Linked DNA regions of Rhinolophus ferrumequinum. The protein of the gene in region 3 purifies or fractionates together with the protein of the main gene of each other region. This does not show direct contact. Links are inferred from orthologs where the notes say so. Each region holds a gene or a part of one and is shown on either strand. Other genes may lie near its edges.

Region 1 (7,599 bases), on a different chromosome or scaffold from region 3:
GCTGGCGGGCTGGCACCGAATCGCCATCATTTACCTGCTGAGTGGCGTCACCGGGAACCTAGCCAGTGCCATTTTCCTGCCGTACCGGGCAGAGGTGAGGATGGGTGCCAGCCTGGGAGCGTGTCCCCTCGGGCCCTTGATCCTGCTGTGCTCCAGGCCACGGGAGGCGGGATGAGGGGACGAGGCTGTGGGTCCGGGGGTCCCACTCGGCCCGCACTGCCTGTCCCCCCAGGTGGGCCCGGCCGGCTCGCAGTTCGGCATCCTGGCGTGCCTCTTCGTGGAGCTCTTCCAGAGCTGGCAGATCCTGGCCCGGCCCTGGCGCGCCTTCTTCAAGCTGCTGGCGGTGGTGCTCTTCCTGTTCACATTTGGGCTGCTGCCCTGGATCGACAACTTCGCCCACATCTCGGGCTTCGTCAGCGGCCTCTTCCTGTCCTTCGCCTTCTTGCCCTACGTCAGCTTCGGCAGGTTCGACCTGTACCGCAAGCGCTGCCAGATCCTCATCTTCCAGGCCGTGTTCCTGGGCCTGCTGGCCGGCCTGGTGGTCCTCTTCTACTTCTACCCCGTGCGCTGTGAGTGGTGTGAGTTCCTCACCTGCATCCCCTTCACCGACAAGTTCTGCGAGAAGTACGAGCTGGACGCCCAGCTCCACTGAGCTGCTGGCCACTGGGGCCACCTGCTCCCGGGCGCCGTCCACCCCGAGCCTTGCAGGCCACGGACGGGGCTGCCTGAGCCCCGTGTGGGGTTCTCAGGCCACGGACGGGGCTGCCTGAGCCCCGTGTGGGGTCCGTAGGCCACGGACAGGGCTGCCTGAGCCCTGTGTGGGGTCCGCCCGCGTCTTGGACACAGACCTCTTGTGCCTTGTTCACTGCTGTTGACCCTCTCGTACTTCTGGGCATTTATTACACTAGTTCCCGTGATTCCCTTCTAACTAGTCTCTTGACGACCACCTCAGGTGGCCAATAAATGGACTGGGAGCGTTTTAGCTGCCACTAACTTGACCAGAGCTGCCTTCTGCTTTCTCGTTCCTGGCTGGGGGCTGTGGCGGGACGTTCCTCTCACTCACAATTCCCCAGACAAGGAACGAAGTATACAAAACACCTCCCAGGGAAGTCCCTCAGCCAGGTTGCACCCCCTGCCCCCAGCTCCCTTCCTAGTTACCGGTAGCCACAATGGGATACAGACCCAGGGATGTGCTGTCATTTCTCCCCCCCACACACACTGAGAAGCGCCCTCCCTGCTCAGCCAGCAGTTCCAGCTGCTGCCCCAGGCCCCTCCATTTCCGGGAGCCAGGGGATGGCACCGCTGTACAGTCCTGCGGGCCAAGGCGGGAGGCCCTGCCGACGGCTGTGCTCTCACACACAGGCCCGTTTGTTTCTGCACAAGTAGAAGAGAAAGCCAGCTGCGTGTGGGGGACACACATTTATTTCCTCCTGGCCGTGGGGGACACAGTAATGGTCAGGTGGCCTCCGCAGCCCTCAGGACGCACCGGCCCCATTCTCTGCCCTTGCCTCCTGGGATGCCGCAGTGCCCGTCCCTCCTGCCGGGACCGTGGCTTGTGGACTTTTCCAGGTCAGAAGCAGAGAGGTTTATGCTGTACTCAGGGCCTGGCCCACAGCCCTGTGGCATCTGCCACGAGATGAGGGTGTTTGGGCTCAGGGAGGGGTCAAGCTCAGGTCACGAGCACTGGCTCGTCAGGTCCTAGTCCTGAGGGCCCAGGCTTCAGACAAGTCCACCTGTGCTCACTTTGACATTCTCCTGTGACAAGGGGACAGTGGCCCGAAGCTGCTTCCTGCTGGGCAGAGCTTGTCACCGGCACAGTTGTCCTCGTCCAGGGGTTCATTTTTGCCTCAGCTTTTTGATGAAAGACACCTCGTCCCGATTCCGGATACCATAACTGAAAGAGAAGGAAAGGTGTCAAGTGTCTGATCTCCAGAAGGGTACATCCAGGACTCCTCACCTGAGGCTGGTGAAAAACCAAGAAAGAACAGGTGGGAAGAGTGTGGCATCCAGGAGGGGGCAGTGGCCACACGTACCAGGGGGCAGCCTTTCACCTCCATGCACTCTTTCTCCCCTCTTCTGCCTCTGTGCTGCCCTGAACTGCCACTGGTGAGAAGCAGTAGGGCCCCTCACCCCTCTCCTCCACCCGCATTCTCCTCGTGGGGGCCCCCAGCGGGAGGCGTCAGCACAGCCAGGGTCCTCTGTAGGTCTCACAGAGTCCTCAGGAACTGACTGAGGATCCCTCCTTCCTGGGAGGGGGCCCCAGCCGTCTGGCAGAGCATGTGTAACCAGACGGCACCGCCCAAATGCCTGCCTGTAGCTCAACATGTGGCCTGGACTTACTCTCGGAGCTTCTTCCTGTCCTCTGTGAGCTTCTCTCCTGCAGAGGTCAGATGGTACGTTCTCCACACGTAGGGCCTGCAAGGTAGGGTTTCAGGTAAACCGTGAGCAGGGTGAGTGGAGCAGCTGGGATGCAGACGCTGTGACTGAGAGCGGCTCACGGTGCTCAGCTCTGTGGGCCCGGGGCAGCCGGCCGCCTCTTCTGGGCTGTTTCCTGTACACTGTGCACTGTGCCTGAGGCGGCTACAAGGAGGCCCGGCTCTATGAGGGCCGTGTGGGCCATGCAAGGGAGGAGAAGAACATCCAGGAGAAGTCCTGGATGTACCGTCTGTAACTAGGAGACCACTTCTGGACACATCACACATGCCCTAAGGTGTCCCTAAGTACAGATACCAGCTGCCTAGGTGGGGTGATGCAGATGAAAGAGCAGGTGATGCAGGACTCCCAGGCACAGAAGCACCTGCCCTGTCTGAAAGCTCCGGGCAGGGAGCGCATCACTTTAGTCAGTACTTTGTAACAGGGCTCAGTGACTAAAAAGCACACGGAGTCCTGTGGAGTCCCAGTCCAGCTCCCAGGAGGGGATGCAAAGAGCCTTGGCGCCACTTACCAGCTGATGTGTTGAATGCCGCCTTCCCGCTCCTGCCTGAGCTGCACGTATCTCTGGATGGCTTTCTTCAGGTCCAGGACTGTGGCATTCTGTACCACGACCACAGCTGCAACCAGGGACACAAAAGGGAGAAGATCCATGGTGGGAAGCCCCAGCCACAGCCTCAGGTGGGGGGAGAGGAACCCAGAAGCCCTGTCAAGCCTTGTTTCTGACCGAGGCTCAAATCTGGGTGGGTGGGCTTGTGGTTGCCCCAACACCCATGGGCATGGCCCCTGAGTGTCCCACTGACCAGCCCCTGTGAAAGCTCAGATTGCACGGCCTGAAGGGAGGAGGGCAGCACTTACGCATGACTTCTCCATCCATCTTGCACACTCGGACTGTCATTGCTTGGCCATACTCTAGGGCTATTTGGGAATTGACCTCTTCCAAAGTAACCTAGAAAAGACCAAGGGGGGAGGTGGGAGCCCTGGCTTTACCACCCCAAAACGACAACAAAGAAAAACAAGGTGGTACTGTCCAAAGAGTGGTGCAACGTTATATGAAAGATGAGAAAGGGAAAGGGTTCTTACTTATATATCAGGGTTTCCCAGTCCAGCACCTCAATCTCATGTGCCACCCACATTTCCCATTTAAAGTCCAAAGCGGACAGAGGCTCTGGAGAAAGGAGCACAGGAACAGGCAAGAAGGATGGATCCTTTCATCCAGGGGCTGGGTAGGAAGAAGAACCCTGGGCCTGCCCGTGCGTTCTGGGAGCCTCTGATCACCAGGATCCAAGCCCGGGCCTCTGGAGAAGGTTGAGGCACGTGTGCGATGATACACGTTGCCAATACAACTTTTAAGAAAATACAAGTTAACTTGAAAACTCCATGATGGACCAAAGAATACTGAAGCTTGAGAAGGGAAAAAACCGGCACTAACGATCTCGTCCTTCTTTTGTTGGCGATAGGTTTTACACCAACTTTGTGTTATGAACGTATTAAAATATTATTTTATTTATTTATTTATTTATTTATTGATTGATTTATTTATTTTGGCGCTTCTTTAATTTCCGCGCCCCACGGGAGAGCCCCGCTCGCCCCGCCCCAGGCTCGGCCCTGGTTAAGACCCTCATTTACGCCCAGAGGTGCCTTCCTGAGGCCTTTGGGCCACAGCCCCCATCAGCACCGCGCGGGATCCACACCCGACGAACGTCCCGGCGGGGCACGACGCCTGCACCCTGCCCGCGCGCACCTGGATCGGGAGATCGCAGAGCAGTGGGTCCTGCACCACCATGGCGAGACCCTCCTGGAACACGTCCACCGCCTCGGAGTGCGGCAGCGCCTCCTCTTCGTCCTCATCGTCGTCCTGCGCCTCGGGCTGTGCCGCCGCCTCCGCCGCCTCCAGGGCGCCTCGCTGCCGAGCGCGCTCCGCCCGCACCGTCCGTCTGCAAGACCGAGGCGCGGCGCTTTCGCCCGCGGAGCAAAACCCGCAGTCAGTTCCGACATTAGGGCGTCGATTGGCTGCCGCGAGGACCAATGAGAAGTGCGAGATGGCCTGCCGCGGTGCTCGCTGGGAGCGCGACATCGGCGTGTCTATTGGTGGGCTAAGGTGGCCAGGACCAATAGGAGCTCGAGGCGGGCGGGCATAGTGTCGGCTCCTGGGCGGCCGCGGGGGCTGCCGGGAGCCTGCGGGGCTGAGTCCGCCGTCATGCTGCTTTTCTGCCCCGGCTGCGGGAACGGGCTGATCGTGGAGGAGGGACAGCGCTGCCACCGTTTCGCCTGCAACACCTGCCCCTACGTGCACAACATCACCCGCAAGGTGGGTCCTGGAGCCCGGCGTCGGGCCCCCGCAGGCCTCCCGCTTCCTCCGGCTGTGCTCCACCCCTGTCAGGACGCAAGGTGGAGGCCCTGGCCGTGGTCACCGCCGAGGCCACAGCGGTCCTTGTAACGCCGAAGTCAGATCGAGTCCGTCTTGCGCTCGGTAACGCTCAGCAGTTCGCCAGCGTGAAATGTGCTCGCGGGGCAGACCGAGCGTTGACACCACGCCCCTCCCCCCAGCCTTGCTTTTCTGATGTCAGAAAAGGGGCTCTTTTGCCCCAGAAACACCAGCCTCTTGGAGGATCCCCCCTGATGGACGTGGCATTACTAGCAGCGCCTTTGCCCACGTTTCCTGTCCGGTCCAGACTTCCCCTAAGACAGCCGTGCCACTCTTTTGTCACGTCGTCACTTAAATCATCACTCAGTGTAAAATTGCAGCCCTTCCGTTTTATCCTCTTTCCCGGTTTTGGTTTTTCTCTAGGACTCCTTACCTTCTAATAACACGGTATAATTTACTTACGTGCTTTGTTTACCGAAGCCGAGACCTAAGCTGTAGGAGGGCAGGGCTCTTTCTGTTTTGTTCCCTCTTGTGTGCTAGTCGGAACGCCGAGGATGGAACTGAGGATGTGGAGGTGTTCACTGCGGTGAATTGTGCTCACGGTGTTAGGACTCGGTATTTTCCCCTTGATCTTTTGTGGGGACAGAGCCCCAAAAAGCAGTTTCCAGGCTCTCGGCCTCACATAGCAAGGTGCTGGCTCAGGTAGTAAATGGCCATCGACTGATCAAATGGCCATCAGCTGTGGCTAGTTGGCCGTCAGCTGTAACCAGTGAGCCATTGGGCACTAATATAACTGCCGTGGCTAGGCTAACAGAAATGGGGGCTAGCGAGAAGATGGTGGCTGAGCCAGCAAGTGGAGCAGTGAGGGTTGAGACTTGTGTTGCTCCTGGTTTCCTGTGTCTCCAACCCAGCCGCCAGTGAGAATATAGTGGTGTGACTCCCCTACCTATGGCTCCGTGGGTGTTCCTTTTTGGCCTCACTATGTCCTGCGTTCTTATGTGGGGAGTGGGACCAGAGACCCCGCCTGACACCCTGCACGACATCTTTACTCTTTAGAAGTAGAGCCCCTTGGGGCCACCCCGTTCTGAGTGTTTGTGTACTGCACCATATTGCTGTGTTGTGGGAGTTTAGAGTCTGGATCTATGAGAAGAGTGAACTCTTACGTAAGCCTGACATTTCAAGGATGTCGGGTAAAACTTGGGAAAGAAACTGAGTGCTTTGAAAGCTCTCTGCCTGCGGGGAGCGGCTGGGCTCCCCAGCTGGTACTCTTTGGCTTCAGGTGTATTTGTTTCTCACATCTTGGGTTAGGCGGTGGTATCTTAGAGATATGGGCGTAGAGGAGGGTCACACCTAAGCCATCGTGTCTTCCTGCTCTGGTGTTTCATTCAATCCTTGCAGAGATCTTCTCTGACGGCTGAATCTCTCTCTTCTCTTGTGGGGGCATCCCAATCGTAGGTTCTTTAAATTCCAGTGGTGCGTCCTGCTCTGTGGTAGCGGGAACACTGTTTTCGTTTAGTCTCCCTGCTGGCTGGGAGGAAGACAGTCTGGGAAGACACTTGAGGGCAGCTGTGGAGGTGTGGTTTGGTGGCCCACGGTTGCACTGTTCACTGACTTGGAGAGTCTGAAGGCTTGCTGTTGTTTGTTAGGTAACAAATCGGAAGTATCCAAAGCTCAAAGAAGTGGATGATGTGCTTGGTGGAGCAGCTGCCTGGGAGAATGTTGACTCTACTGCAGGTAAGAGGGAAAGCCTTCTGTAACTGAGCGGTGGGTAAGTATGAAGCCACTGGCTGCTGCTCCGTGGCAGTCGGTGATGTATTTAGAAAGTGTGTTTGCGCTTTAAGAACTTACTTGTTAACTCCAATGATATTGGCACAAGCCTTGGAGTCGTGCAGTCCTGAGTTAAAGTCTCGGGGTGACTTCTTACTGTTTTATGACCTTGCTGGGGTCCCTGAAGCGCTCCAGGGCTAATCCACACTCATAGGTTGTGAGAGCACCCAAGTGAGTTATAGTGTTTCGCATATAACAGGCAATTCTACAGGCGGTAGCTACGATAGCTACAAGGTCAGGAATAATACAAATCAGAGTCGCGGGAAATAAATGTGGTGGTCTTGTTCTCATGCGGCGTGTTAAACGTTAATACCAGAGAGCACCTAACTGCAGTCTCAGTAAAATAAATGTTTCTTTCAAGTCTTGATTCGTTTCTGATAGACATAGATGTGACCAAGGAAGGGCAGAGCAGAGCCCTAGACAACCTGCGCCGAGGGGAGGAACAGCGAAGTAAGATTAGTGCCATTGCTCTGCCTCTCTGGACCGGTACCCAGATCCGCCACGTGAACAATTTAGCAAAGGCAGAAGTTGTCATTAAAAGCTAAGTTATGCCCCGAATGTCCAAAATGGTGTTTGAGAATTTTTGAAGGTGTTTCCATCAAGAGCAGGGTTAGTGTCGCAAAGTAAAAACCTTTGAAGGTAAATGTGTCCTGGGGTCCTCGGAAAAGGTACGTATGTGTGGTGAGATCTTGATAAAAGCAGCCTGAGGAGCTACTGCCAAATAGACCCCTAAATACTCGGGGAAGCCGATTGGTCAGCCCTTGGCAGCTCCTCTGGGAAGAAGAGAGGGCGTCTCCACGTCCCAGGTGATGGAGATGAATTTGTTAGGGGAAGTCTGCACGGCGTGGGCCCCGTAATTCACACAGCAGCCGTGTTACGTTTCCAACCAGTCTTCTACCAGGTTTGAGAAAAACAGTGAGAAAAAACAGTTTGAGAAAAACAGGGCGGGGAGGAGAGTGTTTCCAAGCTCTCCT
Region 2 (6,886 bases), on a different chromosome or scaffold from region 3:
CCCCCACTAAAGTACCTGCTACTGCTAATTCCTTTTAAGGCTCCTGCAGTGCAAACTGGATTGGCTCTTGATTTCCCATTGCTGGAATAGGATAAAACTGCTAACTCAGTTGTCACCTGCCCAGCATCCCAAAGAGTTCGTCAGTCAATGTGGATTTATACTTAAAATGAACAAACCACGGTCCCTTTACAGTAGTCTTAATGGGGTTTTGGAAGGGAGTCAAATTAGATATATTTGCTCATTTTGCTACCTTTCTGGAATCTATTTTTTTTTTTTTTTTAATGTCCCCAAATGATTCAAGTCCACCTGAAACAACTGCTTTATCCTATTGGTGACACTGGGCAAACTGTTTAAACATGCCTAATAGGAGCCAAAATGCCTGCACTTCATTCATATCACTTGAATATTGTGAAAATAGGCAAAATGTGTGCCCATTCAAGAAGAATGTGCTCTATCAATCTAAGGTTTATCACAATCTTCTTAGAGGAAGATACTATTTCACAGGTAGTAGGACAAGTTGTTTTCCATCAAAGATGATGCATTGGGTGATGATTTCTCCTTGTCCTCTTTGTCCCTCATTTACAAGTCATCTTTTGGGTTACAGTGCATATATTTATGCTTCTCTAACACAGGTAATCATCAATTCACCTAAATGAAATTTAATGACTTCAACCTCCATGTTCTAACCAAAGCAATGAAGCTTCTACGCTGTTCGGTATGTGCTGCTGATGTGTGTGTGTGTGACTGTGTATGAATTTTAATATAAATATCTTATATCTCCTTCCAGGCATCAGGATTATGATGATAGCAAGTTAGTAGACCACACCATTCAGAAGAGATGATAAGAAAATTAATATTCTCGAGAAAAGTGGAAATTAGATACTCCTTGACAGAGTGAGGCATCCAGTTCCCAGTGAAAAACAACTTTTGATTTAACACAGTATTATCACCTTCAAAGTGTCTGGTAAATATTAAGCTTTCTTTTCATACCTTCAAAGGCTTAAAGCACCAAACAGGTAGCTTGCAGGCCCCTTGCAGCTCCAAAATGCTTTAATTATAATTATAAGGCTATAATTCTAGCAGCAACTTGGATTTTGGAAACCTGGATTCTATTCCCAGCTCTTTCCCAAAGTGGCAGTGTAATCTCAGGTATGATATTGAGGCCTGCTTAGACTGTTCATCTAGGAAACATCAATTCCTATCACTGTTTCACCATTGATTTCCTATTGCTGGCAGAGAGAAAAAGTAAATAAACCAAAAAGTAATTTATTCGTGTAGACAATTTAAATATATTTTAAATAATAATGTAAACATTTCTTGTGGAATGACAGAAAATATTTATTCTGAATACCCGTCAACTACATGGAAATCTTACCTCTAAAAGTATCAGTTCTATCAAGATATACAGTAATTAAAAGTATATTTAATGTAAATGTACTTTTTTCCTCTCAAATTGTTAGGTAATATAAGATTCCCCTCTCAACCAGTTTTTTTTTAACCCTTAGATTTAAATTTTAAATGGAAAGACTTTGGATAGGGTGTGAGATATAGAATCTTGCTTTATATTTTTTATATCTCAAGTGATCAGAATCTCACCTGTAAGATAAACTGATTTTCGTAAAATATTTCATTATTTGTCATATTGGTTGGTCATAAAGTGAGAGTATTACATAGCAGTAGCTGGATTTTGCTACCTCTTCGAAGAATATTTTAATAAATTAAATTGGCAATTAAAATGGTTTCAAGATAGAGTGGGAAAAGGGGGTTTCACATCCTACTTGGAATTACCATAATATAGTTATGCAGTAGGATTTTTGTATGATCTGCATGCTTTGACATATTGTGCCTTGGTTCAAATCTTAGCTTTTGTCATTATTAACCACCTCACTTCAAATATTGAGAGAATAAAATGAAATCAACGAAAGTATTCTAAAAAGAAAAAAGGAAATTAATATACAAATATTGCTTCTCTGTCCAATTAGCTGAATTATTTAAGTGCCTGCATAGTGTTCGGAGGACAGGGGCCCTACTCGTATTTTGTTCCATTAGTTTCTCTCTGAACCCTATTCTATGTTACATGGGGTCTAAGAAGCCCAGGGCTACCGATGCATTAGTCCACATACTTAACCATCACCTGCAATAATCTCCGTGTTAATCTTTCCCAGGCCTTGCTTTCAACCAGACCAGATATCTATCAAAATGTAAGACTCAGACATATTCTACTTTTTATGTACCCTACCTGGCTCTTTCTCTGGTGAGGCAACATCAAGAACAGAAATCTATCTGGAAGATAAAGATGCAAGAGCAGATGGCAACCACTGTTCTCTAATGGCTTTCTAAACCTACAGGTGGGAATTGCTCATAGCCGGCGGTCACTGAGCAGATGAAGTCAGCAATTCGCAAAAGCAGAGAGCATGACATGCACTCTCCTTGAGGCGTCATTCCTTAAAAGTCTTCTCTCTAGAAAAGCGCCTGGAAATGTCTGACAGGTGTACGGGAAAAGAACGGGAAATTCCTAGTCACGAGTCTCTGCGGCGTTACTACTACACCTCGCAGAGGAAACGGACAAGGGGGTGGGGCCGGCTTTCATTCGAGTACTCAGCTTTGCTACACCGTGCCAGAGCTAGTCTCAGGTAGGGAAGGCTGCGATGGCCTTGGCTCTGGTCGAGTGTCAGTGCAGGTAGAAACAAAAGTGGTGTTTCTGAAATGTAGCAAAACAAGCCCCCTCACAGCCACGCACATCTGCAACATGCATCCCTCGGACAGTTTCTTCCCAACCCCCTCCCGTAATGAGAGAGCGCGCGCCCGTGAGGGCCCATTACCATCCTGCAGGATGAGGGTGGGCTGTACCGCCTGCACTCGGAATTGCCTGGCCCTCCAGCCGGGGCTGGGCGCCCGTACCACCTCACTATCGGACAACCAGGTCACGGTCTCAAAGTTGTCCCCGCGAGCCAGTGCCTCGGCCTCGGCGTGGTGCACGGCCACCCGGTCGAACTGGTAGAGACCACCGGAGTGGTCGAAGTGCACGTGGGTGGCCACCGCCAGCAGCGGCCGGCACGCCGCGTCCTCCTTGGCCCCGCCGTCCTGCAAGAGGCCGGAGGAGTACAGGTATTCCGGAAGGCTGCGCAGCCCCAGGCCCGTGTCGATCACCACGTCCTGCTCGGAGCCGCGCACCAGCCAGATGTTGGCACGGTTGCCAGACTCATAGAAGCGTTCCTGAATCCAGAAGATGCCGTCGCCCAGGGACTTGTGGGCGTACCACTCGAGCGCCGACATGCTGGGAAGAGGTGCAGGAGGGGTGAGTGTGGGCGTGTGTGCCTCCCGCAGGCTGTCCAGACTCCGGGCGCTGCGGCGGCGTGGAGCGGTCTGCCGGCAGCCAGGGAGGTGGCGCAGAGCAAGGAGGGGGAGGGGGATGCGGGTGGTGCAGGGGGTGCGGGGGATGCGGGGTGTAGAATTAGGAGGAAGGAGGCACCTAGACACTGCCTGTCGTGGTCGCTTTACTCCCACGACAGGTCCGCAGAAAGCAGAGGTTGTTCTGCCCGCCCCCGGGCGCTGGAGGAATCGCAGCCTCTGTAGCCGCAGCACAGGAAGGCGTTAACGCTTGGACCACTGGAGACCTACAAGGCGACCCTTCCCCAACCTGGGGGCGTCTAACTGCAGAGGCCGGGAGCTAGTCGTAGAAGGCACCAGATCCGCCCACCCACCGTGCGCCGCTATGCGCACTTCCAGCCCGCGCAGAGTCAGACCTTGCGGGTTGGACAGCTACGGCGCCTGCCAAGGGATAAAAAGCTCTTCGCCCAGCGGGCGGGGCCTAGCTAGGAAGTGGGCGGGGCTAACTGGTTGGGTTCCGAATTGGGCTCCGAGGCCTCGGGGAGGGCGGAGCGCGCTTCTCCAGAGGTGGAAACTGCGCCGGGCGCCGGCGCGTTCTGTCCGCACCCCTTCCTTGCCGGCCGGCGCTTCGGCTGCACAGTTTTGCCCAAGCCTCCGAGACTTAGTGAGCAGGTAACAGAGGAAGCAATTGAGGGCTGGGAAGGAGATGGAGAGGGTAGAGGGGAATTAAAGGGGCACATGGAAAGGTGGGGGAAGTCGGGTGGAAATTCATTGACGCGCTTCTCGGTTGAGGTGCGTTGAGAGATAGCTTTACCTCCCCTTCCAATCCCTTCAAAATCTTTTAAAATCATCGTTTCCATATCTTACCTAGTCGCCACTTCCTGGGACTGTTTGCAGTGAGTTAGAAAGGAATTAGTGCTCTTACTGATTGATGGTAGATTTTCAAATCCGGTGACTATACGATTGGTTCAGGCATGAATCATTGCCGCAGGCTTGCAGCTAAGGACAGACTATTCTGTATGTTTTCGTAATTGTTGGCACTTTATCCTGTATCATGGAGAGTGGGGTTGTCAATGAAGTTTTTTTCCTCTTCTGAAAAATTAAATTCTATATTCTTTCTCCACCCTCCTTTTTTAAGTTTATCCGCTCTTGGAAGAGAGCAAAGAGAGTTGATAGGCTCAACTAAGAAAAGTGGAGGCAGCCACACCTTGTGAAAATAAAAAAAAAGTGAATAATAACTGGGTGTGGCCCGCCAGCCACATAAATCACCCTCAGTATTAAAGCCAGGCCCCTTTCTCCACTCCGCACCTCTCAACTATTGAAATACCATTTAGGCTGCAGAAATCCCCTTGAGAACTTGACTAACCTCCCTACTCAGCCAGGAAAAATTTTATAGACTCATGAGACAGCATTATAAAAGAATTATGAAAAACCCTTATTGTGGCAGCTTACTAGTAAGCCTTCATACAAGGAGATGTGTACTCTCCTCCCCTAAGCTCCTAAAGTTTTTGGTGGGGACGCAGCCTTTCTGAATATATTCCTAACTTAGACTTTTTCCAGTCACTCTGTTCAGGGCTACCCTTAGTGCAAGTCCTAGAGCTAGATGTGTAAAGAACAGAATTGTGTAAAAAGATCATAATCTGGGTTCTCAAGAATTTGAGGGAAGACAGTGGGGGATATAAAATTTCTATTAATACAGTCGAAGAAAGAGACAAACGAGTGAAACTTCTTCCTTTTGGAAAAGGCCTATTTCCCAAAAGGGGAATACCTGTGTTCCAGAATTGATGAGTGTAGTAATACATATCACCTGGAGTTTTAAGAATCCATTTATTTTAACAGGAGGATCTTACCAAGAGCAAGGAGGGATGAAATGACTCTTGCTGATGTTGAGCAACTTAAACTGCATCTATAAGGTTAAAAAAGGGGCGCAGCCAGGCAGGGCAGAAGGGGAGTAGGTGCAGTGGAGAGAATCATGGTCAGGACATGATTACAGAAGAATGAGTCAGGAGGATAGGTGCAGCCATCTTAAAAGGGCTCTGAATATTTGGATAGGGAGTTTGGATTTAATTCTCTAGCCTAGAGGCAAAATAGGGAGAATAATATATAATCAGAATTATGCTTTAGGATGAATATTTTGGAAGAATAAATTAAAACAAACAGGAAGAACAAGGGATATTACAAAATTTGCAGTTAATCAAAGTGAGGTGGGAAAGAGCTAAGCTGGATTATGGTAGAAGAAATAGAAAGGAAGGGACATTTTGAAGGAAGAATTAGATGATGGATTTGATAGTAGGGGTGGAACAGAATGAGAAATCGGTACTGAGTCACTCCAAATGTTCACATGTTGGTGTCTGGGAAAATAACATACCATGGGTAGAAATAGGGACCTTATATATGAAAGGTAAGCTAGTTAGTGTAGGGGGAAGATGAACTCAATATTTTAAGTTTAAGGTACTGTCCAAATATTTTTCTGATAGTAAGAGCATGTGCTGAAACTCTGGATAAAGGTCATTGCTGGAGGTAATGGAGAGGGAGAGGTCATCAAACCCCAAGAGTGGGTGCATTTCTGAAGAGCAGGAGACCAAAGATCGGACTTTAAGGATATCCATACTTAGGGGGTTTAAGAAGAGAAGTAGACCAAAAAAAGTGTTCATTGGGGTAGGAGAACTGGAGTTTTATTAAAGCCTAGGAAAGAGAGTTTCAAAAGAGAGAAGGCAGTAATCAGATGTGCAGTTCAGAAGTCCAAGAACATGAATGAGGACAAAAGGCCAGTGGATTTTGCCATGAGGACCATTGTGACCTTTGCATTTCTGAATCTCCGTGAGTGCAGTTCCCATCATAAGTAAGATAAAAGCCAAACCCTTTACCACAGCTCCCACAGGGCTCCACAAGCTCTGACCTTGACCAGCCTCTCCCCACTCCTCACCAGCTACATGGGCTTCTTGTTCTTCAGACACTCCCAGAGCTGTGGCTTCCTCCTCTGCACTTGCTGTTGCTTCTCTCTGTAATCATCTCCACCCCATCCATCCATCTTACGGCTCCCAGGCTTACTCCAGCACAGTGCTCAGATTTATCCTCCACAAAAAGACCTTTCTTTTATGCAAAAGCCACTACCATACTCCTTTGTTATCCCTTTACCATGATTTGTTTTCTTTCCATAGCTGTATTGATTTCCTAGAGCTGCCCTAACATGTTACCACAAATCGGATGGCTTAAAACAACAGAAATTAATTCTTACGCTTCTAGAAGCCAGAAGTCTGAAATCAAGATGTCAGCAGGTGTGTTCCTTTTGGAGGCTCTGTGGGAGATGCTGTTCTATACTTCTCTCCTAGCTTTTGGTGGTTCCTGGCACTCTTTGGTGTTCCAGGCTTGCAGCTGCAGCACTCTAATCTCTGCCTCCATCTTCACATGGTGTTTTCACTGTGTGTTTCTCTCTTTCTATTCAGATTTCCCTTTTATAAGGATACCAGTGATTGGAAGAGGGCTCATCTTAATCCACTATGACTCCATCTTAATTCGATTACTTATGCAAAGACTTTTTCCAAATAAGGAAGGT
Region 3 (7,483 bases):
CTGCAGTTCCAGACTTCAATCCATATTTTAATTACCAAGTCTATATTTAGCAAGACAATGTGGGAAAAATAAAAAGGAAGGAAGGGATGGGTGGTGAGAGGGCCTCCCGGGCGCTGACCCACTTTCTGCACTGACTGCAGAGCGCTGCAGTCCTGGCCACGAGTTCCTGGCCTTGTGCCCTTCGGAAGCCCCGACCAGCATCAAAGGAGGTACTTAAGCAGCTCCGGCTCTGTGGCAGCTGCCGACCCCATCAAAAAGACACATGTCATCAGCACTGTTCTTTAATTGTCCTCCACTCCGCAGCTGGGGAAGACGGGGCTGGCCCAGGATTTCAGGTGGGGTCAGTGTGAGTGCAGGGTCACCGCGACGGCCTTGGTTGTGGCATTGAGCACGACAGCTGATAGCCTCGCAGCAGGGAGCACGGCAGGGATCTCTCTGGGAACCCTCTGCATGGGTGGGATGTTGGGACCCTCCAGGGTGTCCAGGATCCCTGCGAGGGAGATGGAAGGTGAGCGTGAGCTGGCGGGGCACCGCCCTCGGCAGCGGTGGCCCCCTCCCCGCACCCCAGCCTCCTGGCACTTACCCTCCACCACCTTGTGGTAGGCAAAATGCAGATAGAGCAGGAAGAGCATGTGCAGGGCAGCCAGGGTGCCACAGAGGAGCAGCCGCTGCGTGGGGCCCACAGTCCGTGACACCAACACTGCCACCTAGGACCACAGGAATACAGCTCAGGGGGCCTGGCTCCAGTGTGGGGAAGCCACTCCTCCCTAGAGCAGAACCATCTTTGGGCTCTGGCGTCCCACTCAGAGCCCTTTGTGGGGTTTTGCCTGCACTAGGGGCTGCTGCCCCCACCTCCCCAGGAGGACAGCCCCTGCCCATCTTACCATGCGCAGGGTGGATAGCCCCCCCACCAGCAGCCAGAAGAGGTAGAAGAGGGCGTGGAGGTGGATGTTATAGGTGACGAACAGGACGATGCAGTGCCCGAAAAGGCCATAGCCCTAGGGAGGAGGATGGTGGAGAGGAAAACCATTCAGGCCGGGCTGGCCTCTGGACCCTCACGGAGACCCTGAGAAACAAACGGTCGAGCGGCCCGCTTACTCCATTCCCAGCCCTGGGGCCGCAGCACAGATGCAAACCAAGGCCTGGCTCCTCTTGTAAGACCACCCTTGCCCACCACCGTGCTGGACTCCTTACCAGCAGCGCCAGCGTCTGCAGCATGGTGATCTGGGCGTTGCACAGGTAGGCGAGGAAGTAAATGAAGGACGAGACACCCAGCCAGTAGCCGAAACAGGTGCCAATGGCTGTGCCCATCAGGGTGCCCTCCCGCTGTGGGGGGAAGGCTGTGCTTAGTCCTGGGAGGCCAATGGCCTCAACCTCACCCAGGGCCGTCCTCAGGGCTGCTTCTAACTCGCTCCACCACCGTCTCTTTGGGCCGCTTTCAACTCAGTTCAGCCACCCCCCAGCCCTTCAAAGTCCTCTGTCCTGCTTACGATAATGGTGTCAGATGTCTTCATCCCGTGGAGGAGGATGGCAACCAGTGTGAAGACCAGCATGAGAGGTCCGTAGAGCTCACCTGCGATTTTCTGTCAATATACCAACTCATTCAGGCTGGACGGTACAATGGCTCTTCTGTTGATTTCTCCCCAGGCTTTGTCTGGTGGCCCCACCCTCTGACCGGTGCCTCCCCCCGGCTCTTCTAGTCATGCCACCCCCTATTCACCTGGGGGAAGTTGACCATCTTGATGGGGATCATGGACTCCAGGAGCCTGGGAGAGGAGAGGAGAGGAGAGATGAGCGCAGAGGCAGCACGAGGCTATGAGGTTCTCAAGGGCCTGAATCTCACTCACTTCTCTAACTCCAGAGAACATGCTGGATGGTACAGGGAGAATGAGGAGATCACTTCCTTGCCCCTAAAAATACTTCCAGGAAGGGCAACCCTTTGATGCTGTACTGACAGCTGCAGCAGCAATATGAACTCAGGGAGCCCCGCTGGGCCTTGGGAAAGGGCTTGACAATTTACATATGTGACGTGCTCCCCTCTAAAAGGCAAACTTCAGCAGAGAATGCCCAGAATTCCACACTGTAATAGTGCAGGTTACTTGAGGGAACCAGTGTGCCTCCTGCCTCTGTCTGCTTACAATTGCCCCAGGCACTGTCGAGCATTTTCTTAAAATACATTTGAAGTGGTGTGAAAATTCCAGGCAGAAGGAATACAAGTACGAGTACAAGCCACTTCCCCGTTCTCTTAAGTGGCTAGTTCCTAAAAATACCTTTGAATTTGGCTGGATTTTACCCTCCTCTGTGAAACCTGCCCTGTTCCACCTCAAGCCTACTCTAGGGTCAAGAGTCCCTTCTATGTGTCCCTTCATAGCAAATGAGTGCTACACTGTAATTACACTTGAGAGCAAAGCTCTCATCTGGCTTCACCACTAAATCAGACACAGCTAGTAGAGTACCTGGCACAGAGCAAAAGCTTAGTAAGTACTTGCTGAGTACACTGGGTATTTGGTAAGCAAGACTTATGCAAGTATGAACAAAGAAGCAAGCCAAAATTAATTCCAGTTTTTGAAATCATTCAACAACTATGTACCAATATTCTGATTCAGAGGTTCTTCTGGTGCTTGGAATGAAAAGATAAACAAAACAGAGCCTGCTTTTGAAGTGGTCTCTGGGGAGACAGACTCAAGAATAAGAAAGTACAGCCGTGCTGAAGTGTTATTTATTAGGGGAAAGCGCAGAGCAATACGGGAGCACCAGGAAAGGACAAACCAGGGATGAGGCTGAGGAATGGGGAACAAAGGAAGCGACATTTGAGCTAGGTTTTGACGAAAGATGAGTAGCTTACTAGATGGACAAGAGGAAGAAGGCAGTGTGTTATCAGCATGTCCCGTTCTGGGATTGAGAGGAGGAATGGCGTGGCTGGGGTACGGGTACAACGATGAAGGCTGCTGGTGTCATGAAGACGGGTGTCTAAGGACTTGGTCTCTGTCCTCTGAAGGACTAGGTGTGAGGAGGGCAGCTTCCGTCAGGAGAAGGGTCCTCACCTGCTTCGCACCTGGGCAGGCTCCACATCAAAGTAGGGTCTCAGGATGTCGATGTTGGCATACAAGCTGAAGGCCCTGGAGGCTTGTCTCTTTCCTGCCTGCCACATCTGAAGAAAGAGGACGGGCGGGGTGGGTGGCTAGTGTGAGACTCTTGGCTCTCAGCCCTGTTGCTGATTTTCTGTTGGATTTCTACATGGTTCTAACTGGACAACCTGGGGTGACTGACCGTCATCAACACCAACTCCAGAACCTGGGGCCTCCTAGGTGTTTTTTTCCACCTGCCAGGCATCCAGTCTTGCTTACCTGATCAGCCACCTGCCGGCTCAGCTGTCCCTTAAAGCCCTTCATGCCCAGGAACTCCCCATCCTCTTCTTCAGCAGCGGCTGCATCAGCATCGACTTCTTCCTCGCGCAGACGCTGATGCAGCTCACCCATATCCTCGAAGCTGGAGCCTGACGTATCATCCATGTTCTCCATGTCAATCACAGCTGAACCCCCACCCTGTGAAGACAATAGCTCCTCGTGTGCAGGACCTTTCTGCTCCATCCATTAAGTGTTTCTCTGTTCCTCCCAGGACTTGGGGCTTTGTCCTTCCACTGAGGGGGATATGGCCCGGAATCACCATAGATGGTGCCACTCTTCTCCTCATTTGCTCTCAAAATCTTTCTTGTTTGGCTCTCTTTTCTAGCCTGGGAAAGTACTCCCTACCTTTCATACATGTCTTCCTCCTACCTTCCCTACCAAAGTCTCAAAGGGCTACAAATGTGCCCAGTTCCTTTGTCTCTCCCAACCCCCATGCAAGGTTGTGCACACAGTATGGTTTTAGCCAGTGCATTACTCCCCCACCCGCTGCCATGCCTGACCCCGACCGACCTCCTAATTTGTCCCGAAAGCAAGAGCGGGTCGGCCCAGAGAGCGAGGCCCTCTGACTGGAGTACAAGTCTGGCCTTTTCTGGTCATCACTGGTCCCACTGACTTTCGTGTGTGCTCGAAGAGCCAAAGGAGAGAACCAGTGCTGCAAATGGAGCAGACTTCCAGGCCCCGAGGGAGAGTCCCCACGACACTTCTGGACGACTGCCGACCCTGGGGCAGCTGGCAGCTGAAGCCTTGGGGCCATTACCTGGATGTTTTCTTCGAACCCTCCCCATTCTGGGCCAGCCCCGTTTCGGGAGCCGCCGGCCGGCGCCGCCGTAGTTGCCATGTCCCTCGAGGGCTCCCGTCGCGGAAGCCTGCCCTAGCCCCGCTCGTGGAGGAGTGGGAGAGACGTAGGCCTGAAGAAAGGAGAGGTCCAGGGGCAAAAGGGAGGCGGGATCAGCCGGAATGCAAAAAGGAGAAACCCGGATGTTTGGCCAAAACTAACTTCCGGAAGCTGGGGACGTGGACGGAGACAGGGCAGAATCTCGCGATATTTAACCTTGAAGGCGGCGGGGCGTTGCCACGGAGACGGAGGAGGGCGATTAGAACGCAAGCGCCAGTTGCTACCCTAGTCACGTGGAGGGGTTGAAGATGGCGGCGCCCCAGGCAGTGGAGGAAATGCGGGGCCGCGTGGTTCTCGGGGAGTTCGGGGTTCGCAATGTAAGCCTTGCGGTCTTGAGCTCGGGAGGAGAAATGAGAGTGGAACAGGGATGAGTTGGGATCGGAGTGGGGACGGGCTTGGCCTCGCTGCCCCTTCGCGGACAGACTCTTCTCTGCTCTAGGTTCATACCACCGACTTTCCCGGTAACTATTCCGGCTATGATGATGCTTGGGACCAGGACCGCTTCGAGAAGGTGGGTGGAGCCGGAGGTGTCCGGAGAGGGTATGAGGATCGGACCGTGTGATCTGAGCAGCCTGTGCCTCAGAAGCTGTCCTTGGGTTTCGCTCCGTTCCTAAAACGTTTATTGAGCACTGTGTTAGGCGCTCCGTGTACACGGTTTCTGCTCTGGTCTGCGAACAAACTCAGTCTTGTTGGGGAAGAGCGCGCGTAAGCAAATGATTCCAGTATAATGTGGTAAAGGCGGTTGATAGCACTAAGGATGACCGGAGGTGGGTCGGGGGCTGTCCCATTCCGCAGAGGCACTTAATCTAGAATGGGGAGGAGGGCAGAAGTAAAGTGGGTCAGCATGAGTGGTAGGCAAGATTGAGTAAAGTGTGTCTTAGACACTAGGTGACAGAGCAAAGGGGAGATAAAAGGTAGGTTTAGTGATTGCTTTGTATCAGCCGTGAGGGGAGACTGTCAAATGACGCAGCTTGGGGAACTGCTTTGATGGATGGTGGTGTCATTTATTGATGAGAACTGGGGCTGGGGAATGATGATGATACATGCTTTCAGTTTCCTTCAGGTGGAGAAGTCTAGCAGGCTAGTAGAATATATGTTTGAATTGAGGTCAGAAGTGAGATATAATTTGGGGAGCTGTCAATAGAGATAGTTGCTAAAACCATGAGTGTGGTTGAGGTCACTCTGGAGAGAAAACTTGGGAAATAGGTTTGGGAAAGCAAAAACTTGGGAAATCGTAATATTTATGGAGTAGGTGGAAGACAATGAATTTGGAAGGATTGATCAGAGAAGGGAGAGAACCAGAAGATTGGTGCTCAGAAATCAAGGCAACAGAGTTTGAAAAAGGAGGGATCCTATCAACAATGCCAGATACAACAGAGGAATGTAATAAGGATCGAGTAGTGTCTATTGGACTAAGCAGTGTGGAAGCGTGTTCTTTAGCACAGTAGCCTTTGCGGATGGTCTGGCTGGAAGCCGTACTGCAGAGGATTGTAAATGAATGGAAGATGAAAACAGGGAGACTTTTAAAAAGAAACTCATAAAGGAGGACTTGGAACATCTAATGAGGGCCATCTGGGCAAAGGGAGGTTTTTGGATGAGACAGAATGTTAATACCTTGAGGGGAATATCGGAGGGTGGGGGGGGGGCCCGCAGGTATTGACTATACAGAGAGCAAGCATCATTTAGTGTTTTTCTTGTCCCTTTAGAATTTCCGCGTGGATGTGGTACACCTGGATGAAAACTCATTGGAGTTTGACATGGTGGGGATCGATGCAGCCATTGCCAATGCTTTCCGACGCATCCTGTTGGCTGAGGTATTGGTGGGTCTGGCGACGGGGTAGAGTTGCACGGGGAATCCATGCCATTGACCTCGCTTGTAGAATTGTGTCAAGGTTTATTTTTCCTGCCGTTTTGCTGAGCATTCCTCTTGCTCATTTGTAAACTTCTAATCAAGGCTTCTTCTAGGAAGAGGTCTCTCCCTATCTCTGTCAGCCGGCGGGGAATAGATGCGGAGTCTTTAAGGTCTTTGTAGATGAGTGGTTCTGTTTTGTTGGGCAGGTGCCAACCATGGCTGTGGAAAAAGTCCTGGTGTACAACAACACATCCATTGTGCAGGATGAGATCCTCGCCCATCGCTTGGGGCTCATTCCCATCCATGCCGATCCCCGTCTTTTTGAATATCGGAACCAAGGTGAGGGTTTGAGAAAATGAAATTTGGGGGAAAAGGGAGCAGCTCTCCTCCGCAGAGTAGATTCTAGAATCAGACTGCCTGTATTCAAATCCTGGATTGACTACTACAAGACCTTAGGCAAGTGACCAATCTTTTGGTACATCATTCTTTTTATCCATGAGAACCCCTGCCCTTGCCTTACTAAATTTGTCCAGGATTACAGGAGAAATTGAATGCATTCAGCATGGCGCGCAAATATTCACTAGTCCTTTAAGAGCTGCCACCTCCTCCCTTTGTGCAGGAGATGAAGAAGGCACCGAGATAGACACGCTGCAGTTTCGGCTGCAAGTCAGGTGCACTCGGAACCCCCATGCTGCTAAAGATTCCTCTGACCCCAATGAACTCTATGTGAACCACAAAGGTGCGTGTTGATTGGTAGGGTAAGGAAGAGGGCCCATCTGGTGGTGGGTGCCGGTTTTAGGGACTGGGGTCTTCTTGATGTGCTTCTCCCTCCAGTGTACACCAGACACATGACGTGGGTCCCCCTGGGGAACCAGGCTGACCTCTTCCCGGAGGGCACTATCCGACCAGTGCATGACGACATCCTCATTGCGCAGCTGCGGCCTGGCCAGGAGATCGACCTACTCATGCACTGTGTCAAGGGCATTGGTGAGAACCCTGGGGGCTGCCCTGGCGAGGAAGGTAGTTCCCATCCAGTGGCGTGAGGTGTGACTGAGGGACTCAGCTAAGATGTGATGGGCAGAAAGCCAGTGGGCCTTTGGGAACGTGAAGAAGGGTTTTCCCACAGGCGCTGTTTTCCCTCTAGGCAAAGATCATGCCAAATTTTCACCTGTGGCAACAGCCAGTTACAGGCTCCTGCCGGACATCACCTTGCTCGAGCCCGTGGAAGGGGAGGCCGCTGAGGAGCTGCGCCGGTGCTTCTCACCGGGTGTTATTGAAGTGCATGAAGTCCACGGTACGGTATTTGGTCAGGTCAGGACCTAAAGTATG
Region 4 (7,604 bases), on a different chromosome or scaffold from region 3:
TGGGCTCTTAGAGAAGAAGCTCTGGCCCAACCTGGGGATTTAGGGAGGCTTCCTGGAGACAACAGCAGAGCAGAGTCTTGAAGGACAATGAGGAGTTAGTCTGCGAATGGGAAGAAGGGCTTTCTAAGCAGGGAAGAGAGCATCAGCAAAGGACCTGAGACATGAAACAGCATGATGTGGCAGGGAACCAAAAACAATCTGTTCCCTCTGAAATGATGGAAGATGAGGTGGGTGAGGTTGGTAGGGGCTCAGTGTAGTCAGCCCATGAGTTTGGAATTGCATCTCTAGTGTTGAGAGGGTTTTTGTTGAGAAAGTGACTTGGTTAGATCTGTATCTAAAGACAGATCAGGCTGGCTGCTCTGAGATAGATGGAGCCGGGAAAACTACTTAGGATGCACTGTAATAGTCCAGGTAAAAGCCAAGAGCCTAAACACATGAAGGGGTAATAGGAATGGAAATAGGTGGACAAATTTGAGACTTGTTTAAGAGCTAAAATCAGTAATACTTTGTGATTTATTAATAATTACTCCTTGCTTAAAATTCTTCAATAGCTCCACTACTACCTATTGCCTATAGTCAATCGAACTGGCAGTAGGTGGGGTCACTAAGGTGATGAAAGAGAGGGAGTTGCTGAGGACGATTTTCAGACAGAAAAGAAAAGGCTGAAAGGGTGGTCAGAGGACAAAAGCATTTTCCATTTCCACAACCTCCCAGCATCCCTTCCTCTATCCTCCTAGATTTGAAGACCTTCACCATGGTGAACTACCTAGAAATCACCATCAGTCCTTTTTTCCTTATGCTAAAACTGGGGTCGGCAATCTGGCCCACTGCTTGTTTTCATAAGTAAAGTTTTATTGGAACCCAGCCACACCCATTTGTTTATATGGGTGGCCCATAGCTACTTTCCTGAAGAGTTGAGTACTTATGACAGAAACCATATAGTTTACAAAGCCTAAAACATATACTATCTGGCGCTTTATAGAAAAAGTTTGCCACCCTGAGCTAGAAGGTTGGAAAAAACAGTTTGACAGAAAGTTCACCTGTCCTCACACCTCCATATCCAGAGCCCTTGGATCCAGAAATCCAACAAAGCTGGTAGATTTAAAAAGCAAATAAGCTTTCAGATGAGTCCTCAGTATAGAAATCTTTTACCTAGTTGCTACTAAGACAAACTGAAATGCTCTCAAGATATGGGAGTTTTGATGATGGGTGAAAGGAAGTAGGAGAAATAGGTAAGAGCATGTGGCACACTAACAGGTGGGGTGTTTTTAGACAGTAGAGAATGACATTAGGGCCCCAGGAAGAGATAAGAGCAGGTATACGAAATATATCCCCCTGATATATAAGAGCAGGTATAACAGAAGAGGTAAGAGCAGGTACAAGGGCTTCATTGATAATCCCATCTAAAGTGTCACTCGGGGCTGAGCCTGCACTTCCACCCAAAGGCCCAGCACTGTTGATATTCAACGGGACTCATTCTCGCTTCTAGAAATGCTCACTGAGATTGTAAGAGTGATACCCTAATGAGCTGGCTTTGTGATGACTCACAGAAAAATCAGGGGAATGTATTTCGTATGGAAAGGCCCAATATCAGCAGTAGGAAGAAAACAGAAGATGAGAACAGACTATGCCTATGTGCCTTTAGGTATCTTAGCGACAATTATGTTAACAAATACAACAGTGAAAACAAAATACATTTATTTCATTCATCTTGTAAAATAATGCATAATTACTTCTTCTTTGCTCAGTTCTGGCAGTCTGAGTTGTTTCCTGGTTTAGAATCTTATCAGTCACAACCTTCTAACGTTTTCATGACTAATAACAGAAGTAAAGACAATCGTAATATATAAGTAATTACATGAACTAGTTGGATTCATCTTACCATGGACAAAAGTCTATTGATGGCCACTGCCCGCTGCTGGGCTTCTATATGAGGCATTTCATTCTGAATTACTTGGTCTGTGATTCCATGAGGGAACTGGTGACATAATTCTATAATCCTACGAACAAAGATATTAATGATATTACTCATGTTTTTACTTATTTCAAGAGACAGTGGGGGCAAATACTAGCAGAACAATTTGAAATTGTGTCCTTTTTACATTTGGTACATAGTCTGGCTTCTATGATGGTTCTAAATCAACGCATGTTAGAAATTGAGGAAGATGTTTTTGAAATACGTTTACATTATTATTGTTATTTAAGGAAAATATGTTTTCCTCATTAACATAATCTTTAAATTAGAATAAAAGTCAAATGAAAACACAGAAAAAGATATTAACGCTGCGGCTTCAATTTTTTAAGATGCAATAAGTATGACAAAATTAAGATACAGCATTGGGCAGGTATAAGTCTGCAAGCAGGAGTCATATCAGACATTTCTGGTGGGAAGCCAAAATTGGTTATAACAATTCACAATTGGGGCGTGGTTTTGGAATTATTCCCACCAAACAAAAATAAGCCCATTATCTTCCCTCTGTCACAGGATCATCATGTATGTTATTCATAAGTTTGAGGAAGTTGGGATCTTTTCAAACTATGTGGTAAACCTAAAAATAGCAGTGCACTCATAGAGAATATAACATCAGGAATATAACATTTGACGTGCCCTAAAATCTTGACTTAAATACTGCCCCGAAATTATTTTTGGATTAATGTTGCTTCGTAATCACTAATGCACTCTAACTTCGCCCAAACGTTCTGTCCTGACAGTTCCCATAGCGATAAAGGCAATCCTGTATGAGAACACGTATCCTCAAGCACCACGCAGAAACACCGAGTTTTCTCTGAGCGTCGACCACCTTAACGCAGGAAGGAAGCGCATCATCACAACTTCCGAACAGCATCCGGACACCGACACAAAGTTGCAAAGTGTCAAGCTCGTTTTAAACTTATTAAGAGTTCTGCTGTCCACAGGTGGAAGGTGTTCAGATCCGGTAATCCCCTTCCTGGACGCTCACTGAACTTGCTCCAGCATCTACTGACTGTCCCGAAAAAAGTCTGCCCAAATGACCGCCTGCCTGCGTGGGCTCCCGAGCCGGGAATCGAATCTCACTGATTTACCTGTTTTCTATTTCGACTGGATCTGCGTCAGGCGGCTGCATTTTCACCTTCACTTCAGCCATGGGACGCAGTTCCCACCTCGGGGGAAAAGAGACGCACGGAGCAGCCAGATAGCGAGCTGGGGATCCAGAAAATCGGCAAAGACAGCTTCAGGCGCGGGCGATGGGTCTTTTTCCTCGTGTCGCAGACGGTCCTTCCTTGCCTGTGGGCTTGAGGTGCCCAAGCCACGCCTGTTACTCGTCACTGGCTGGAGCCGCTACACCTTATTCTTTTTTACCAGAATGTCAGTGTCTGTCAGACGAACGAGCCTGGTTCCATCATTCTGAATTGGAACGCCACTTTTTAGCACTTTCCAATCTCTGTGAAGGCATATTCTTGGATGCCTATGTTGAAACCTTAGGAAAGGAGATTCAGGCGGATTCCCCTCTCCTAGCCAAACAGCAGGGCGGATCTGGTTGCTAGGAAGCCGGATTTCCGCCAATCATCTGCCCAACTCAGTGGGCGGGGCGCAGCTCCCCGCGTCTGTGGTAACCCAGACCGTGGCAAAGGAGAAGGCAAGAGGCAGTGAGAGGTGGGTTTACTGGCTGCCAGTGGCGGAGGCGCCTTAGGGGTTACAATCTGGGTTCCGGTAGCCAGAGGAGGAGGAGGGCATTCCTCACTCCAGCCGAAAGGAAGCAGGTGTTTCTGGCTGCTCCTGATGGGCGGGTACGCAGACCAGACGGGGCTCCAGATTTGGATCCGGTGGCAAGCAGGCAATGTTGTTGGGGTTTGGAGGTGCTGTTTATCCTACCCTCCATTTGGGCCTAGCGGATTGGTCTCCTTCTTGATCCTCTTCGCTTGGGGCCCATTCGCCGTCCCAGCCTCCCAAGGGCAGCTCCTAGTTGCCGCGCGCGAATTACTTCCTCCTCAACTATTTTTACTTTGAACTGATTTTGAACTACTTTAACTGCCTCTCACATAAATGGAAAGTGAGGACTGACAAGCCTCCCTAAACCAGCCACCCTTCTGTAGGGGCTAGTGCTCTATCAGTATTTGCAGTTCAAATTCTTGGCCTCTGACCTGGAGCTATATAACCAGGCATTAAGATCACTCCTTAAATTTAGTTATCCCAGTTTTGGGAATACAGCCTGTGACAAAACTCACGCCACAAGAGCATCGTTATTTGGAATTGTAACAACCAAAACTAAAAAGAAACTAGTTATATGTTAAATGCCCAACCACATATTGATAAATAAGATTATATGAGTAGGTGGAAAATTGTAAATAACAGAAAAATTGCAAATAATAATAGAGCGAGGGTGCAATAACTAGACTGTAAAAAAAGAATGAATATATAGATTATAAATGAGCAAGACATGTATTCATAATTTGAAAAGGCTATTTAGAGATGTAAATGGTTGCTGTATTAAGGTGAGGGTTATTTTTTTCCCTCTGAATCCTTTAGGTATTAAAAATTATGACACCTCTCAGGAAAAAGATCAGTAAGATCTCCACACTCATACTTAATTATTTATAAATATAGTAGATGGAGTGGGAGACTTTTGTTACCTGTTGCTCACTGTTTATGTTGGTACCAACTTCCTTTCTGCTGAGGTGTGATAATCTGCCATCCTCCTAAAGTTTCTTTGCAGGTAACAAATGTAAGTACTTGGCTACAACTGCAGGACCCTGAACCTGGAGCTTTCTCAAAGGACTTGGCTCTAAATGAACATACTACATGCTACTGTGTTTCACCGAAAATAAGACCTAGCCGGACCAGCTCTAATGAGTCTTTTGGGACAAAAATTAATGTAAAACCTGGTCTTATTTTACTATAAGACTGAGTCTTATATAATATAATACCTTATATATAATATAATATAACATGATAAGATATGATATGATATAATATAACTTAATATATAATATAATATAATACTGGGTCATATATTAATTTTTGCTCCAAAAGATGCATTAGAGCTGATGGTCCGGCTAGATCTTATTTTTGGGAAAACAGGGTACATACAGTGTTACTTCTGTTTTTCCTGTGTGATGACTTGCCCTGAAGCCAAGAGAGGTGGGAGATAAATAAGAGTCAGGAAAGTGTAATAATAATGATCCAGAGGAAGCTCTGATGAGATCATTAGTGAAGGTCTCTGTTCTAATATATTCATTTAATTTGGCCATTTAAAATAATTCCATTCCCCCATCCCATTCATCCATGCTCTTTTCACAGAAGTAAGTATTTAGATAATCAAAACAACACACAAGATCTCAACAGCAAAAATACAGCTGAAACAATAATTATTTCAATTAAAAATTGAATAATATTTGTAGGTGATATATTAACAGTATTCTCTTTAGCTTTTTCTAGTTTTACTATATTTTTGTAAACAAGGTGTTTCTCTTCAGCTTTTGTGTTGAAATATAGGTGGCCATTGGAATTTATTTTCATACACGTTTTAAAAATATAAGCAGGGAAAATGACTGCTGGTTCAGTGTGTGTTCCTCAGATCATACCACTGCGAGTGCCTCAGCCTGGAAAAGCCAACCATGAAATTGATAACAATACACTTTTGGAAATGAAATCAGGTAAGAATCAAAAGTACTCGAAATCGTTTAAAATAATATTGCCATACTCTTTATGTTCATCTGGTTGTTGATTTACCTCTTTGCGTGTTTTCTATAATCAGGACCTTTGGAAGTTTTTAAAACTTCCAAAATTTGAAACAGTGTTACTTGGTGGTTTGTAGAGTGGTGTGTATTTAGAGTGAAACAATTAGCTTTGATCACCCTTTCATTTGTATAGGTCCATAGTTGCAGCAATGCCTTGACTCACCTTCACCAAGATAAGATGCCTGGTACCATCCCAATAATGAGGATGCTCATTATTTTGCTGGGATAATAAATTTGATGTACTTATACAGGCTTTCCAGTCAGACAGGTTGGAAAATGAATCCTGGCTTTGACAACTTCTGGTGATCTTTGGTACATTACGTAGCCTTTCTGAGTCTCAGTTTGCTCATTGTAAGTTAGTGATAATATCTACTATTTAGAACCATTGTAAGGATTAAATGAGTTGATGTGAGGTACACAGGGTCTAGCATATAGTAATGACAAAATATATCTTAGCTATTATTACAGAAATAAATCAGTGAATGAATTCCCTACTAATGCCAGAAGTGTGTGTGTGTGTGTGTGTGTGTGTGTGTGTACGTGTACACACACACCTTTATGTACTTATACATAACATAAGAAGGAAGGAAAGTTTTATAGATAAAGCATGAATAAATACTTGTTTGAAACAGACTTTGAGATTCCAGTTACATACTTTAATAACTGATATGTGTGAAAATTATTTATCTCTAGTTATGTTACAACCACTATGCTTCGTAGACTGAGAGTTCAAACTAAGAATATATTACATTATACCCTGTCTCCTTTATCTTAAAAGCTAATATTTTTTAAAATTCTCAGAGCAAAATACAAATTTTCATATATTTGCCCATGATTCTTAGATGTTGGATGGTTATTGACAAATGATGATATGAATGAGAGGGTATCCAAATTCTTTAACATTTAAAATGTCTAATAAATAAGAGGTTCTACAATTCAGTGACAAACAGAATAATAACCCAATGGAAAAATGGACAAAGGATGTGAAAGGACATTTTATAGGAAAGGAAATATAAATGTCTTTTAATCATATGAGAATACAGTTCTAACTACCCCTTTATCTGCTTGCTGAGCAGACCTTATCCCCTGCTTTCTTCACTCCATTGCATTTAATCACCAACTCAACAGAAAATATATAATTTTTGCTTTTTGTATGTCTACTTTACTGTTTGTATGTCCTTCCTAAAACAGAAGCTCCATTAGAACAAGGAGTTACTGGTGTATTCCCCGTGCCTACAATAGTATCTGCCACACAATATGTACTTGGTAAATATTTGTTGAAGGAATGAATGAATCACTCAAAATGTAAGAAATGTAAGTTAAAACTGCAAGATACCTCTTTTTTTAATGTAGGAGATTGGCAAAAACAAAAGAAAAATTGATAACACACGATATGGATGAGATTGTTTGTAAACAGTCACTTTGATGCATTGCTGGTAGCAGTGTAAATTGTTTCAGCATCCATGGAGGGAAGTTTGGCAATATTAACCAAAATTACAAATACACATATCTTTAACTCAACAGTACTAGTTCTACATATTTTACAGATGTACTTATAAAAATAACTCTTTGCAAGTTTATTATAATGCTTGTAATGGCAAAGAAAAAAAAAAGAAAGAAACAGAAAAGGAAAACATTTAGATGTCCGTCTGTAGGGGATAGGTTAAATCTACATAAAGAGAGAATACAATTCAGCCATAACACAGAATGAGGATGCTCTTTATGTACAAATATAGAATAAAATCCATATTGTTAATAAAAAAAATGTATGGAACAGGATATGATATGCCACCATTTGTATAAAAAGAGTGGGGGAAATAATATGGACATATATGCCTGTATGGATATAAAATATATTTGGAAGGATACTCAAGATACCATTGATT

The links.
Region 1: the proteins of POLR1C (region 3) and POLR3K purify together in Homo sapiens (affinity purification with mass spectrometry; 4 studies listed by BioGRID and IntAct, counting the BioPlex papers as one, with this or other methods). This does not show direct contact. The link is inferred for Rhinolophus ferrumequinum from reciprocal best matches to the Homo sapiens genes POLR1C and POLR3K.
Region 2: the proteins of POLR1C (region 3) and POLR3G purify together in Homo sapiens (affinity purification with mass spectrometry; 4 studies listed by BioGRID and IntAct, counting the BioPlex papers as one, with this or other methods). This does not show direct contact. The link is inferred for Rhinolophus ferrumequinum from reciprocal best matches to the Homo sapiens genes POLR1C and POLR3G.
Region 4: the proteins of POLR1C (region 3) and POLR3F purify together in Homo sapiens (affinity purification with mass spectrometry; 4 studies listed by BioGRID and IntAct, counting the BioPlex papers as one, with this or other methods). This does not show direct contact. The link is inferred for Rhinolophus ferrumequinum from reciprocal best matches to the Homo sapiens genes POLR1C and POLR3F.

Annotation. Positions count from the first base shown.
Region 1 is NW_022680357.1:2,145,596-2,153,194, reverse strand, and holds the start of POLR3K (DNA-directed RNA polymerase III subunit RPC10), read left to right. Parts: upstream 1-4,582; 5' UTR 4,583-4,630; coding exon 4,631-4,741; intron 4,742-6,444; coding exon 6,445-6,532; intron 6,533-7,599. Other genes in the region: RHBDF1 (inactive rhomboid protein 1), read left to right, coding at 1-94, 233-652; SNRNP25 (U11/U12 small nuclear ribonucleoprotein 25 kDa protein), read right to left, coding at 1,837-1,894, 2,341-2,415, 2,945-3,050, 3,289-3,379, 4,175-4,216. UniProt on the Homo sapiens protein: Core component of RNA polymerase III (Pol III) which synthesizes small non-coding RNAs using the four ribonucleoside triphosphates as substrates. Can mediate Pol I proofreading of the nascent RNA transcript.
Region 2 is NC_046290.1:59,272,595-59,279,480, forward strand, and holds the start of POLR3G (DNA-directed RNA polymerase III subunit RPC7), read left to right. Parts: upstream 1-3,881; 5' UTR 3,882-4,002; intron 4,003-6,886. Other genes in the region: acyl-coenzyme A thioesterase MBLAC2, read right to left, coding at 2,823-3,276. UniProt on the Homo sapiens protein: DNA-dependent RNA polymerase catalyzes the transcription of DNA into RNA using the four ribonucleoside triphosphates as substrates.
Region 3 is NC_046286.1:12,846,952-12,854,434, forward strand, and holds the start of POLR1C (DNA-directed RNA polymerases I and III subunit RPAC1), read left to right. Parts: upstream 1-4,472; 5' UTR 4,473-4,550; coding exon 4,551-4,619; intron 4,620-4,741; coding exon 4,742-4,813; intron 4,814-6,008; coding exon 6,009-6,116; intron 6,117-6,360; coding exon 6,361-6,493; intron 6,494-6,773; coding exon 6,774-6,893; intron 6,894-6,988; coding exon 6,989-7,141; intron 7,142-7,298; coding exon 7,299-7,448; intron 7,449-7,483. Other genes in the region: protein YIPF3, read right to left, coding at 342-490, 584-707, 885-998, 1,195-1,326, 1,491-1,583, 1,721-1,766, 3,045-3,151, 3,348-3,545 and 1 more. UniProt on the Homo sapiens protein: DNA-dependent RNA polymerase catalyzes the transcription of DNA into RNA using the four ribonucleoside triphosphates as substrates.
Region 4 is NC_046306.1:38,710,914-38,718,517, reverse strand, and holds the start of POLR3F (DNA-directed RNA polymerase III subunit RPC6), read right to left. Parts: upstream 3,007-7,604; 5' UTR 2,847-3,006; coding exon 2,716-2,846; intron 2,001-2,715; coding exon 1,883-2,000; intron 1-1,882. Other genes in the region: DZANK1 (double zinc ribbon and ankyrin repeat-containing protein 1), read left to right, coding at 5,526-5,634. UniProt on the Homo sapiens protein: DNA-dependent RNA polymerase catalyzes the transcription of DNA into RNA using the four ribonucleoside triphosphates as substrates.